3 linked regions of the Mus musculus genome follow. The protein of the gene in region 1 interacts with the protein of each later gene in a pairwise test. Links are inferred from orthologs where the notes say so. Each region holds a gene or a part of one and is shown on either strand. Other genes may lie near its edges.

Region 1 (3,751 bases):
CTCACATCCACCTGTAATGAGATCTGATGCCTTCTTCTGACATGTCTGAAGACAGCTACAGTGTAGTTATGTATAATAATAAATAAATCTTTGGACCAGAGAGAGCAGGGTTAACTGGGGAGCAGAGATCCTAAAAATTCAATCCCATCTGTTCGGCTACAGTGTACCCATAAAAGTAAATTAAATAAATAAATCTTTTTAAAAGATAGATAGATAGATAGATAGATAGATAGATAGATAGATAGATAGATAGATAGACAGACAGATGCAACAGTAATATCAAACTTTGCTGTTTCTGGGATTTTTTTTTTGTTACTCTCTTTGTGTTGGTGTTTTTGTATATGAGTGTTTTGTCTGCATGTATTTCTATGAACACAAACACACCTGGTACCATCAGAAGAAGCCAGAAAGCAGTATTGGGTGCCCTGGAACCATAATTACAAACAGCTGTGAGCCCCCCTGTGGGTGCTTGGAATGGGAATCCAGGTCTCCCTGAAGAGCAGCCAGTACTCTTAACCACTGAGCCAGCCAACTCCCACATTTTTATAAAGACAAGGTTTCCCTTTGATATAAAGTTTATGAAGTCCTGGCTAGCCTAGAAATTACTCTGTAGGCCAGGCTGGCCTCAAACCAACAGTGATCTGCCTGCCTCTACCTTCCGAATGCTAGAATTTAAAGGCATATACCACTATGTCCTGCTACATGTCTCTGTAATTTTTTGGACCACAGACACTACAAGAGTTGCCTCAGCCATTGAGGAAAAAATAAACAAAAAAATGTCAGTAATATTGGTGTTTTCCTTCAAAACTCAACGTCTGTAACTTGCGTCCTTAGAAACATTAGCCATCAGCCCTGCTCTCGACCTCAGAGAAAGAATTCCAGTTTACTATGTTGAGCTGGCATTGAACAGAAATTAGCAGCCACATTGGCCTCAAAATGTTCAGCTCAATGCAGGAGCTGGACCTAGACCCACACATCTGTAGCAAATGTGCAACTTGGTGTTCGTGTGGTTCTTCTATCAAGTGGAACAGGGGCTGTCTCGGTTTCTGTTCCCTGCCATTGGATCCCCTTCCCCACTGTTTGGACTCCCTGGATGAGGCTCAGTGGGTCAGGATGTTCCTAGAACTGCTGAAATGTCCCAGAGTGGGGTGGTATCCAAGGGAGTCTCCCCTTCTTGAGGGAGAAGGGGGAGGAGAAAAGAGAGAAGGGATATGTGAGGAGGAAGACAGGAGGGAGAGGAGCTGTGATCCAAATGTAAAGTGAATAAAAATATAAATAGTTTTGAAAAAAGAGAAAAATGTTAAGTGTAATTTTTTTCCCATTTGTATGTGAGCAAATAGCTGTGTAGAACATGTTAGCGCTTATCTTTTGACTGAGCTACAGCCCCAGCCCGTGTTTTAACTAATAAACAATCTAATAGGACAGGGATCCATCCTGTCAACAGTCAAATAGCACCCAAGTGCCAGGCAGTGAAAAGAACCAGCGTTCTCCAGGGAGAGATGATCTATGTATTGGTATATACACAAACGAAGAGGAAATCTCAGGGGCCACAGGAGGGATCAACCATAAAGACACTTGCCACCAAGCCTAAAACCCTGAGTTTGATTCCTAAGAATCAAACATGGTGGAAGCAGAGAACTGACTCAGACTCCAGCAAGTTGTCATCTGACTTCAACAAAGGAGTCAGAAGACACACACACACTAAATATATATGCATGTATACTTATATAATGAATATATACCTTACAAACAGAGAAGAAAAATCACAAAGAGTTAAAAAAAAAAACAAGCGGGAGCAGTAGTACACGGGATCAGGAGTTCAAGACCAGCCTCTGTTACGGAACAAGTTCAAGACCACTCTATGCTCCAAAAGACTCCCTCTCAAAAAACATAAATTAAATGTAAAAGGTTTCTTTCGGGGGAATGGGGAGAAGACTCAACAGATAAAGCACTGTCTGTGCATACGTGAGGATCTGAGTTCAGAACCCCAGCACCCAGATAAAAGCTGGGCACACTATAACCCCAGCATTGGGGGAACAGGGACAAACAGATACACAGGGCTCACTGTCCAGCCAGCCTCTGCTCCACAGGGAGATCCAGGTTCAGTGAAAGACCTTGTCTGAAATAGGCTGGGTGTGGTGGTGAACACCTTTAACCTTAAGTACTTGGGTGGCAGGGGCAGGAAGATCCATCAGATGAAGGCCAGCCTGGTCTACATAGAGAGGTCTAGGAAAAAATAGCAAATGGAAGTATTTAGGAAGACAACCAGTATGTCTATCTCTGTCCTCCGAGGTTGCTCTCTCACATGGACACACACACACATTGTAGACATACATACACACAAACACATGAACATGCTCACACACCATGGATGTGTGCTTAGATGAGACATTCCACCTCTGAATGTCCTCAGAGTATAAAATCCATTCATCCTAAAGCCACTCCTGGATCCCAACAACTAGTCCCCAACTGGTATGACTTTACTCCCTCCTATCATGGTCCTAAGTGACCTGTTTCCCTGAACACCTGCTGGAATCTCTACCCTATGTTAATCTGTTCAGAAAGCATCACAAGACCCATCTTCATGTCAAACATGGGTGAGAATAAAATATTCTCGCAGCCTCTCCTGGAAAGACTCACCTTTGGAAAGGAGAAATGGGGACTCTCCTGGATGTTCAGGTACTGGATGGTGTCATCAGACAGCAGAGGCTAGAGGAAATAGGTCCCCTCACACGGGGCGACTTTAAGCCTGGGCTGGGAGTGATGTCATCTATTGTGGCCTGGATCTGGAAGGGTAATCCCAGGGAAGGTGGGGGACTCACTGGGCAACAGGAGGTGACATTGGCTGGGGGAAGGGCACCGTCTGCTTAATCCCACCACCCCCACAGTGACATCTTGGCAATTAGGGTTGATGAAGAAGGGAGGGAAAGCCCAACTCCTGCCTGCAACCAGGAGCCCCCACTTCTCAGGGAAGTCTTTCCTTGGGTCTAAAGGGTATTCCTCCAGCTTCAGCTACTATCTGAAAAGAAATGTCTTCAAAAGCACAGAAAGAAGTGTACAGTGCTCCTGGGAGACAGAAAAGAAAGGCACAGGACTTCCTGGGTTGTTCTTTGTGGCCCAGGCTAGTATTGAACTTTTAAGTCTTCTGACACAGCTAGAATAACTGGGAAGAGAGATCTGTGACCCCACTGAGTGAACTAATTCAAATGTGTAGTTCTTGATGGTTCTCCCTTTTTCTGCCTCAGTTTCTCTCTCTTTCTCTGTGCCTCTCTGTCTTTCTCCCTTCTTCCCTCACTTCCTCAGGGCTCTCTATATCTCTGTCTCCCCATTGCTCTGTATCTTCTCCATTGCCTCTAGTCTCTGCTTCTCTATCTTCATCACTATTTCAGACCCTGCCTCTCTGAGTTTCTTTGTGTCTTTGTCTCTATGCCTCTCCCTGAGTTTCTATGTCTCTGTCAATCTCTGCCTGTGTCTCTGTTAGACTCTCTGTCTCCCACTGTCTCTCTGTCTCTCTGTTAGTCTCCATCTGTGTCGGACTCTACCTCTACTCTCTGTCTCCCGCTATCTCTCTGTCTCTGGCTGTCTCTCTGCAGCTCTGGTTCTGGCTCTTTTCCTCCCTGTCTCTCTTTCTCTCTGTCTTTTTATCTCTGAGTGTCTCTGTATGTCTGACTCTTTCTCTCTGTGTCTCTCTTGTTTAGATTTGTTTATTGATTATACATACATGGATATTGTGCCTGCACCCACGTGTTCA
Region 2 (3,651 bases), on another chromosome or scaffold:
CTCAAATGTTATGTTACTTATACTATGTCTTGTGTGTACATGACAATGTGCCATGTTGTTTTTTCTTTTCTTTTTAAAGTTTTCTTTTTCTTAAAAGATTCTATTAAATACGGGTTTATTGGAAAGCTGCTCTTAGACAGGCAAGTTTGCTGGACCCAAAGACCGAGGCCAGGGAACTTGACACGGGGAAAAGGTGTGAGTTTGTAGGTAGGGGAGAGAGAGAGAAAGAAAGTGGCACAGATAGAAAAGAGGGGGTAGAGGGGGAAAGAAACAAAAAAGGGTTATCGTGTAAACTAGTGTACTTTCTCCCATATAAACTTTTCACATTACCTGCAGGGCCACAGCTCTCGGTGGGTTTATGTTACTAGTGCAAGGTGAAGCCGTGTTTGCCGGGGATGGCTTTGTGGCAGTTGGAGAAGACACTGGCACAGCTACTGGGTTGAGAGTGTCCTTTGGAACAGCAGAGTCCTCCATCTGATCCTGCTCTTGCTGAGTCGTGCTAAAGAAAAAACAAGTTTGGTATTAGACTTAGTCTAATTGAGCTGTGAGGGTGATGGGGTGAGGAGTCAGTTTCCCTCAGTGGTGTCCCTGGGAGGGGATGGGATCCAAACTCCAGTGAAGAGCCCATGTCTACTGCACTCAGTGAATTATAAAAACAGAAGAATTGGGAACAGAGAAAAGGGAGGATATGATCAAACTAAAGAAATCAAAGAATACTATATAACTTACTCCTCAGGGAGTAAAGAGCAGCGTGCTGCTCCAGGGCTGACCTGTGGGTCCAACTTCTCTCTGCTCTCCAAGAAGTGCATTCACTCTGCCTGCCTTGGGCCTGGTGATTACAGGGCTCAAATGGGGTCCTCTGAGAAGGAATATGAGAGCAGCTCACTTGTCTCAAGCCTTGCCCACCCCTCTTCCCCCAAACCCCCTTTGGATTCCAGGGTTTTGCCCCAGAGATGAGCCAGGCTGGGCCTTTCCTGGAAGCAGCTGGAGTGAGCTGGCTGAGTGGCACTTGCCAGGACCTTTTCATACCCTAGTTCTGCTTCCCTTTGCCTCCTGCCAAAGCAGTCCCCTGTCCTCTGTCATGCTACATGGGGTTCTGTGCTTGAGCTAGAATGTTCTCGGGCACCTCCTGGCTCTGCCCTGTCCCACAAAGGGACGAGCAGCTTCAAACCTGTCCTTCCTGTGCTTGGTGGCTTGCTCACAGGTGCTCTCTGGCCACCCAGACATTTCCTATCCTCAGAACTTCCCATCTTCTGCCCCCATCCTTAGTCCCTTTGCTTTTGTAGGGAGAGGGATAGTGTCAGGGGCTGGGCCAGCAGCTTGGGGGCCACAGGGAGAAGTTGGACAATGTGCCTGTTTTTTAACTCGATAAAAAAGCCTACCTCCAAAATCCCCTTTGTTCTTCCTGAGCCTGGGCCTCAGCCTCCTGTCCTTAACTAAACTAGGAGCCTCTGCCTCCTGCCTGTGTGTCCTGGCTCCCAAGACACAGGATGGTCCCCTTTCCTTGCACGCTAGCTAGTAGCTGGTAAGGTCTTCACACCCTGAGTTTTCTGTTTCCTGCTTAGTGGCACTGACATTAAGTAGGAGGGGACAGTCCTCTGCAGTACTCTACAGAGTGGGCTTCCCCCTTGGCTGTGGGCAGGCCCTAACTGTTTTCTGCAAAGTTGAGGCCCCCCCTTCTCCCCATCTCTTTTATTATCTAAATTTTACATTTAGTTTTTTGAGAAAGGATCTTACTATGTAGGAGCAGCAGAAATTATTGGAACTTGCTATGTAGACCAGGCTGACCTCAAACTCAGAAATCCGCCTGCCTCTGCCTCCCAAGTGCTGGGACTAAAGGCGTGCACCACCACACACAGCTATAACACAACCTTTTATTTTCCTTTTTTTCTACCTGCCTCTACCCTTCATGTTTGGGGATTAAAGTTTGTATTTCTGGTCATTTACGTTATTATTTTCTTATGTGTATGGTTTTTGTCTTTATGTGTGCACCACATGTGTGGCCAGTCCCAATGAAAATTGTTGTGAGCCACTGTGTCCTGGAAATTGAACTCTAGTTCTCTGCAGCATCAGTAAGAGTTCTTAACTGATGAGCCAATTCTCAAGCCCAAGATAGATAGATTGATAGACAAATTTAAAGATTTATTTATTTATTTTTAGAATTATTTATTTTATGTGAGTACACTGTAGCTGTCTTCAGACACACCAGAAGAGGGCATCAGATTCCATTACAGATGGTTGTGAGGCACCATGTGGTTGCTGGTATTTTAACTCGGGACTTAAAATATAAATCAGAGCCATCTCTCCAGCCCAAGATTTATATTTTAATTATGTAAATGGTTTGTGTTTTTATGTCCACATGAGTCCAAAAGGTTATGGAATTCCCTGGAGCTGGAGTTATAGGCAGTTGAGCATTGCCTGACATGGGTACTTGGAAACTAAACATGGCTCTTTTGCAATAACAGTAAATGCTCTTAACTGCTGAGCTATCAAACTGGCTTGATCCCCACTCCTTGAGAAGGGTCTCCCTGGACAGCCAAGACTGGACTCAGCTTGCAATCCTCTTCTCCCAGTCTATCAAGGGCTAAAATTCAGTGATGCAGTACCAGCTTAAGAAAAAGTTGTTTGGACTGGAGAGATGGCTCAGCAGGTAAGAGCACTGACTGCTCTTCCAAAGGTCTTGAGTTCAAATCCCAGCAACCACATGGTGGCTCACAACCATCCATAGTGAGATCTGATGCCCTCTTCTGGTGTGTTTGAAGACAGCTACAGTGTACTTAGAGATAATAAATAAATAAATCTTTTTAAAAAAAAAGAAAAAGAAAAAAAGGAAAATAAAAGGTTGTGTTATAGCTGGGCGGTGGTGGCGCACGCCTTTAGTCCCAGCACTTGGGAGGCAGAGGCAGGCGGATTTCTGAGTTCGAGGCCAACCTGGTCTACAAAGTGAGTTCCAGGTCAGCCAGGGCTACACAGAGAAACCCTGTCTCGAAAAACCAAAAAAAAAAACAAAACAAAACAAAAAAAGGTTGTGTTATTATTCTTGAAAAGAAGAGAAAATGTACCTTAACACAGGAGGCTCAGCTGTACACGGAGGACTAGGACTTATGCTGAGCGGCGCAGAAGTGCAGTCTGTCTGTCCGTCCTCTGCAGGCACTGGGCAACTAACTCGCACGTCCTCGCTGTCCTAAGGGTTGAAAGAGAACAGTCACTTTAATAAGCGTACACTAAGTACTAAAGTATCTCAGTGACCACTCACCAGCAACGCCACCACAGTGCTTTATACTGTAAGACATGACATAATCACGGCAAACAGTGGACCACACCTGAAATCCCAGTGTTTAAGAAGGCAGGGGCAGGAAGAAACTAAAGGTAGCAATGTTAAAATGATTTAACTGGTTTAACACTTAAACACAATTATCCTATGACCTAGCAACCAGTTCTACTCATGCCATCCAAAACAAATAAAAATATGCCCTAATAACAATGAAATTTATATTTCCAGCACCCACATGCCAGCTCACAACTGTCTGTAATTCCAGTTCCAGGGTATCCAACATTCTCACACAAACACATGCAGTCAAAACACCAACGCACATAAAATAAATTTAAAAATAAGTAAATAAAGTAAAACACAGGCTAGAAGAATTTAGA
Region 3 (3,751 bases), on another chromosome or scaffold:
TCCTCTAAGTTTAGTAAAATGCTCTTGTACCACTGTGGCTGCACAGTCATTTTCAGATCTCACAGTAATCTACAATTGGAAGGCTATGTTTCAGGTGACGTAAGAGATACCTCTCCTCAGACATAGTCAAATAGTGCATCTGAAGTGTTTGGACCCCATAAACTCTCCTTTTATAAGAACATCCCCTGAATGTTTTTTCCTATGTAATGCGCTTAACCCCAGAGCTGGACTTGAACCATCCTAAAACAAGTTACTTTAGTACTAAAATCTCTCAATGGGCTTCAACTATGCTTGTATCAAAATCTAAAACTCTTCATCCTGGCTTCAAGTTTTTGTCTTTTTGTTTTGTCTTTGTGTTTTCCATCCCTGAGCCAGGCTTGAAGCTTGCAGCGGGCTGCTCACTCTTCAGGCTTCTTTCATCACAAACACATTCAGGTTCCAGCTCTTTGAATACTTTCTTTTCTAAGATTTTCTCACGAGATTTGGGTTCCTTTACATCTGTGCTGTGTGTTTATACCTCTAAGGACAGTTTACTGTTCTGTAAATGATTCAATTGTTCTCCCTTGAGTTGGGTTCCATTAAAATCTCTCTCTCTCTCTCTCTCTCTCTCTCTCTCTCTCTCTCTCTCTCTCTGTGTGTGTGTGTGTGTGTGTGTGTGTGTATGTGTGTTGTCAGAAGGGTGTTGTCCTGTGGGGGAATACTGGTCTAGCATGTGCAGGTCCTAGATTCCATCCTAGTAGCACAAACAAAACCATACTTTTTGTGGGTTTTAAGAATTTTTACCTTCATGGACACTATCCTCCATTTTTTAAAAAAAAGATAAATTAATAGTTTTTAAAAAGAGTCTTTAAAAAGTCAAGGTTTCCTCGGGGGAGAGGAGACAAAAGCAAAGTTTCTTTGACCTTCATAGCTCATTGTTTCCTTCTTACTGAAGAAGTTAAAACATGCTCAGTGAGTCACACCTGTAACCTTGGCTCTGGAAAGACAGAGGCAGAAATTGTTATGGTCTGATCTGATTCCACCAGCATAACTGCAGCAATTTTGTTCCATGCCTGACAGTTATTTCATATTGCTGTAATATGCCTGCCAGCCACTGACAAGAAAAAGAATAACTTGACTCAGAACAGGATCATGCTGATGACATACCATGTTATGTTATGTTATGTTATGTTATGTTATGTTATGTTATGTTATGTGGTTTGTTAATCTTAAGAAATTCTACAAAGCTTCACCTAGGACCCATCAAGTTAAAGGTCAATTATGAGTTGTTATGTCTAAAATACCTTGAGTCAGAGCTGGCCCACTGGGTAGTACTTCCTGTACTCATTATAGTTTTCATGTTTTTTCCCTTTATAAGCTAACAGACAAAGATGTCCATTGTTATACTTCAGATAATTCTGAGCTATGTCTCACATAAACTATTCTGCTTAACTGAGATCAGTGATTGTATGTTTTGTGTGGTGATTCCTGAACCCCAACAGAGATATCACCCTTAGTTCCAGACCAGAGACAGAAAGATAGACAGATGAGAAGAGAGAGGGACAGAGAGACAGAGTTAGAGAGACAGAGACAGAGATGGGGGGGACAGGCAGACTCCTCCCCCCACACACGACATTGAGGGGGAAAGAATGCATGCATGAATGAAAGAATGAATGAATGAAAGAATGAGAATGAATTAATTCTTCCTTCTGTCAGTCAGTCAGAGGGCTCTGGCCAGAGCGGGTCTTAGGCCTTGGGCCTCTCTAGTCCTGTCACCCCTCAAGCGACCAAGCCCTAGTGGACTTCACCGACCCAGCGATGGTGATGCAGTTCTCGGGCTGCACCTTCGTACCCGCCCAGATACACGGATCTAAGGTGTGTTCTCAAACCAACCTCTGAGGCGCAATTCTGACTCCCAAGCCCTTCAGTCTTTCCTTAGCCCAGAGGTCTGAAGACTGAACATTATTACCATTCAGTCAGGCTGTCTGGTCCTAGAGAGAGCGCCATCTCTGGGAAAGCTCACCTCGGGCACGGCCTCTCGAGGGAACTCCTCAGGAGATTACTCAAGAGAACTCCTTCAGGCACTGCCCCTCAGATATGGTCACCTCAGGCTCCGCTCCCTCAAGAGTCCACCTCAGATGCCTTCCCCAGGGCAAGTCCCTCAGGCTTTCCTGCTTGGTTACCCCTTCCCCAGCAAACAAAAGCAACGCTCTAGTGCTCCAAAGCTCCAGCCTAGAACCTAAGTCGCTCACTTAGGCAACTATTTTTCAATTGGAAGGTACGCCTCCAGACACCCGGTTGGTGTCCCCCCTCAGACCTTCCCTTCATGTTCCTTCAGGAGTCTCTTTCTGGGGCAACCCGTCAACCCCGAGTTCTGGTAACTCCCTCAGGCGAATTTTTTCTCAGGTACCTGCTGAAGAGAGTCCCCACTTCGGGCACCTTTCTCTGGAGTCCCTCTTCAGGTAGCACCCTCAGCGCACCCACCACTCCGTCTCAGAAGTTCCCTTCACTCACCTCAAGCTCAGCACCTGCACGCCTTCCTTCCGCTGGCTCAGCCTCAGAGTTCCTCTCTTATAGGGACCTCCCCTTGTAGCACCGCCCCTCCCAGAGGCTCCTCCCACTGAGTCTCCCGCCGCCTGGGCCTTCTTCCCCTCAGGCTCCTCAAGTTCAGACATCACTTTGGTGCCGCTTGTGGCCCCAGGGTGTGAGGCATCAGGCCATCTCACTGCACAAGGCCCCTCACCCGCGAGCTCCGGACCTCGGGAATCACTCAGCTTCATTCCTGGAGTTGTCGCTCAAGTTCTAGGGTGTCCTGAGAATAGTCCTCTAGGGTCCATGAGCAGTTGTAGATTTCAGAAAAACATAGTGAAGATAACTTTCTCTTCGTACCCCCCCCCCCCCATCAAACACAAGATCTACTGTGTTCTTGCCTTTAACTTTTCCTGTCCACAACTTTCTTCAGTTGGCCAACTCTTACTCAGTAACCCTGGTGGTGAGCTGTACCATGCAGTAAGCTATGATTTGGGTATGGAAGTGCACAAACAATGGCCATCGTGTCCCCTGTCCCCTCGTAAAAGAAAATTGCCTTTTTTTTTTTTTTTTTTTACAGTGTCTCTGTTTTTTGGTCTTACAGGTGCATGCCACCATGCCTGATCCAATGGCATTTGTTAATGCATTGCTAATGTATTTGTTAAAGTAATGTATGTCTCAATTTGGACTGTAGGAATACTAGAATTATTTTTACTTCTCTTAATCTTTCATGAAATAATTAAGGAAAATACTATTAAGCAGATATTCTAGGTGGGAGGCTGATATAAAAAGATTTTAATGAGTTACAAGGGACAGATTTAGAGTCTGTCTATGAAAAGTTTTTGAGGTTAAAAAAAGATGGCCTCATTGCTTCGTTTCTTTTGTTTTTGTCTTTTAAATGTTTATTTAGTGTTATTGTACGAGTATGAGTGTTTTTACCTAATTGCATGTCTGTGTGCTGAGTGCGCAGTGCCTGAAGAGGCCAGAAGAGGGCGCTGGATCCTCTGCAAGTGAAACTCATGTTGCTCAAGTAATCCTCCTGTCTCGACCCTCCTGAATATTGTGATTACAAGTGTGAGCACCACAACCTGGCTTAAAACGTATTTTCTTTTACTTTCCTTTTCCCTCTTCTCTTCCCTTCCCTTCCCTCTCTCCCTCCCTCCCTCCCTCCCTCCCTCTCCTTCCCTTCCTCCCTTTCTCGCTCCCTCTTTGCTCCCTCCCTCTCTCCTACTCTCCCTTTTCT

What was found.
Region 2: the proteins of Crx (region 1) and Larp4 interact in binary tests that used the Homo sapiens proteins (3 or more experiments, as listed by UniProt). The two-hybrid records come from large-scale screens. The link is inferred for Mus musculus from reciprocal best matches to the Homo sapiens genes CRX and LARP4.
Region 3: the proteins of Crx (region 1) and M1ap interact in binary tests that used the Homo sapiens proteins (3 or more experiments, as listed by UniProt). The two-hybrid records come from large-scale screens. The link is inferred for Mus musculus from reciprocal best matches to the Homo sapiens genes CRX and M1AP.

What each region holds. Positions count from the first base shown.
Region 1 is NC_000073.6:15,877,176-15,880,926, forward strand, and holds the start of Crx (cone-rod homeobox protein), read right to left. Parts: upstream 2,781-3,751; 5' UTR 2,641-2,780; intron 1-2,640. UniProt on the Homo sapiens protein: Transcription factor that binds and transactivates the sequence 5'-TAATC[CA]-3' which is found upstream of several photoreceptor-specific genes, including the opsin genes.
Region 2 is NC_000081.6:100,007,140-100,010,790, reverse strand, and holds part of Larp4 (la-related protein 4), read right to left. Parts: intron 3,185-3,651; coding exon 3,063-3,184; intron 500-3,062; coding exon 331-499; intron 1-330. UniProt on the Homo sapiens protein: RNA binding protein that binds to the poly-A tract of mRNA molecules. Associates with the 40S ribosomal subunit and with polysomes. Plays a role in the regulation of mRNA translation.
Region 3 is NC_000072.6:82,945,695-82,949,445, reverse strand, and holds the start of M1ap (meiosis 1 arrest protein), read right to left. Parts: upstream 2,525-3,751; 5' UTR 2,494-2,524; intron 1-2,493. UniProt on the Homo sapiens protein: Required for meiosis I progression during spermatogenesis.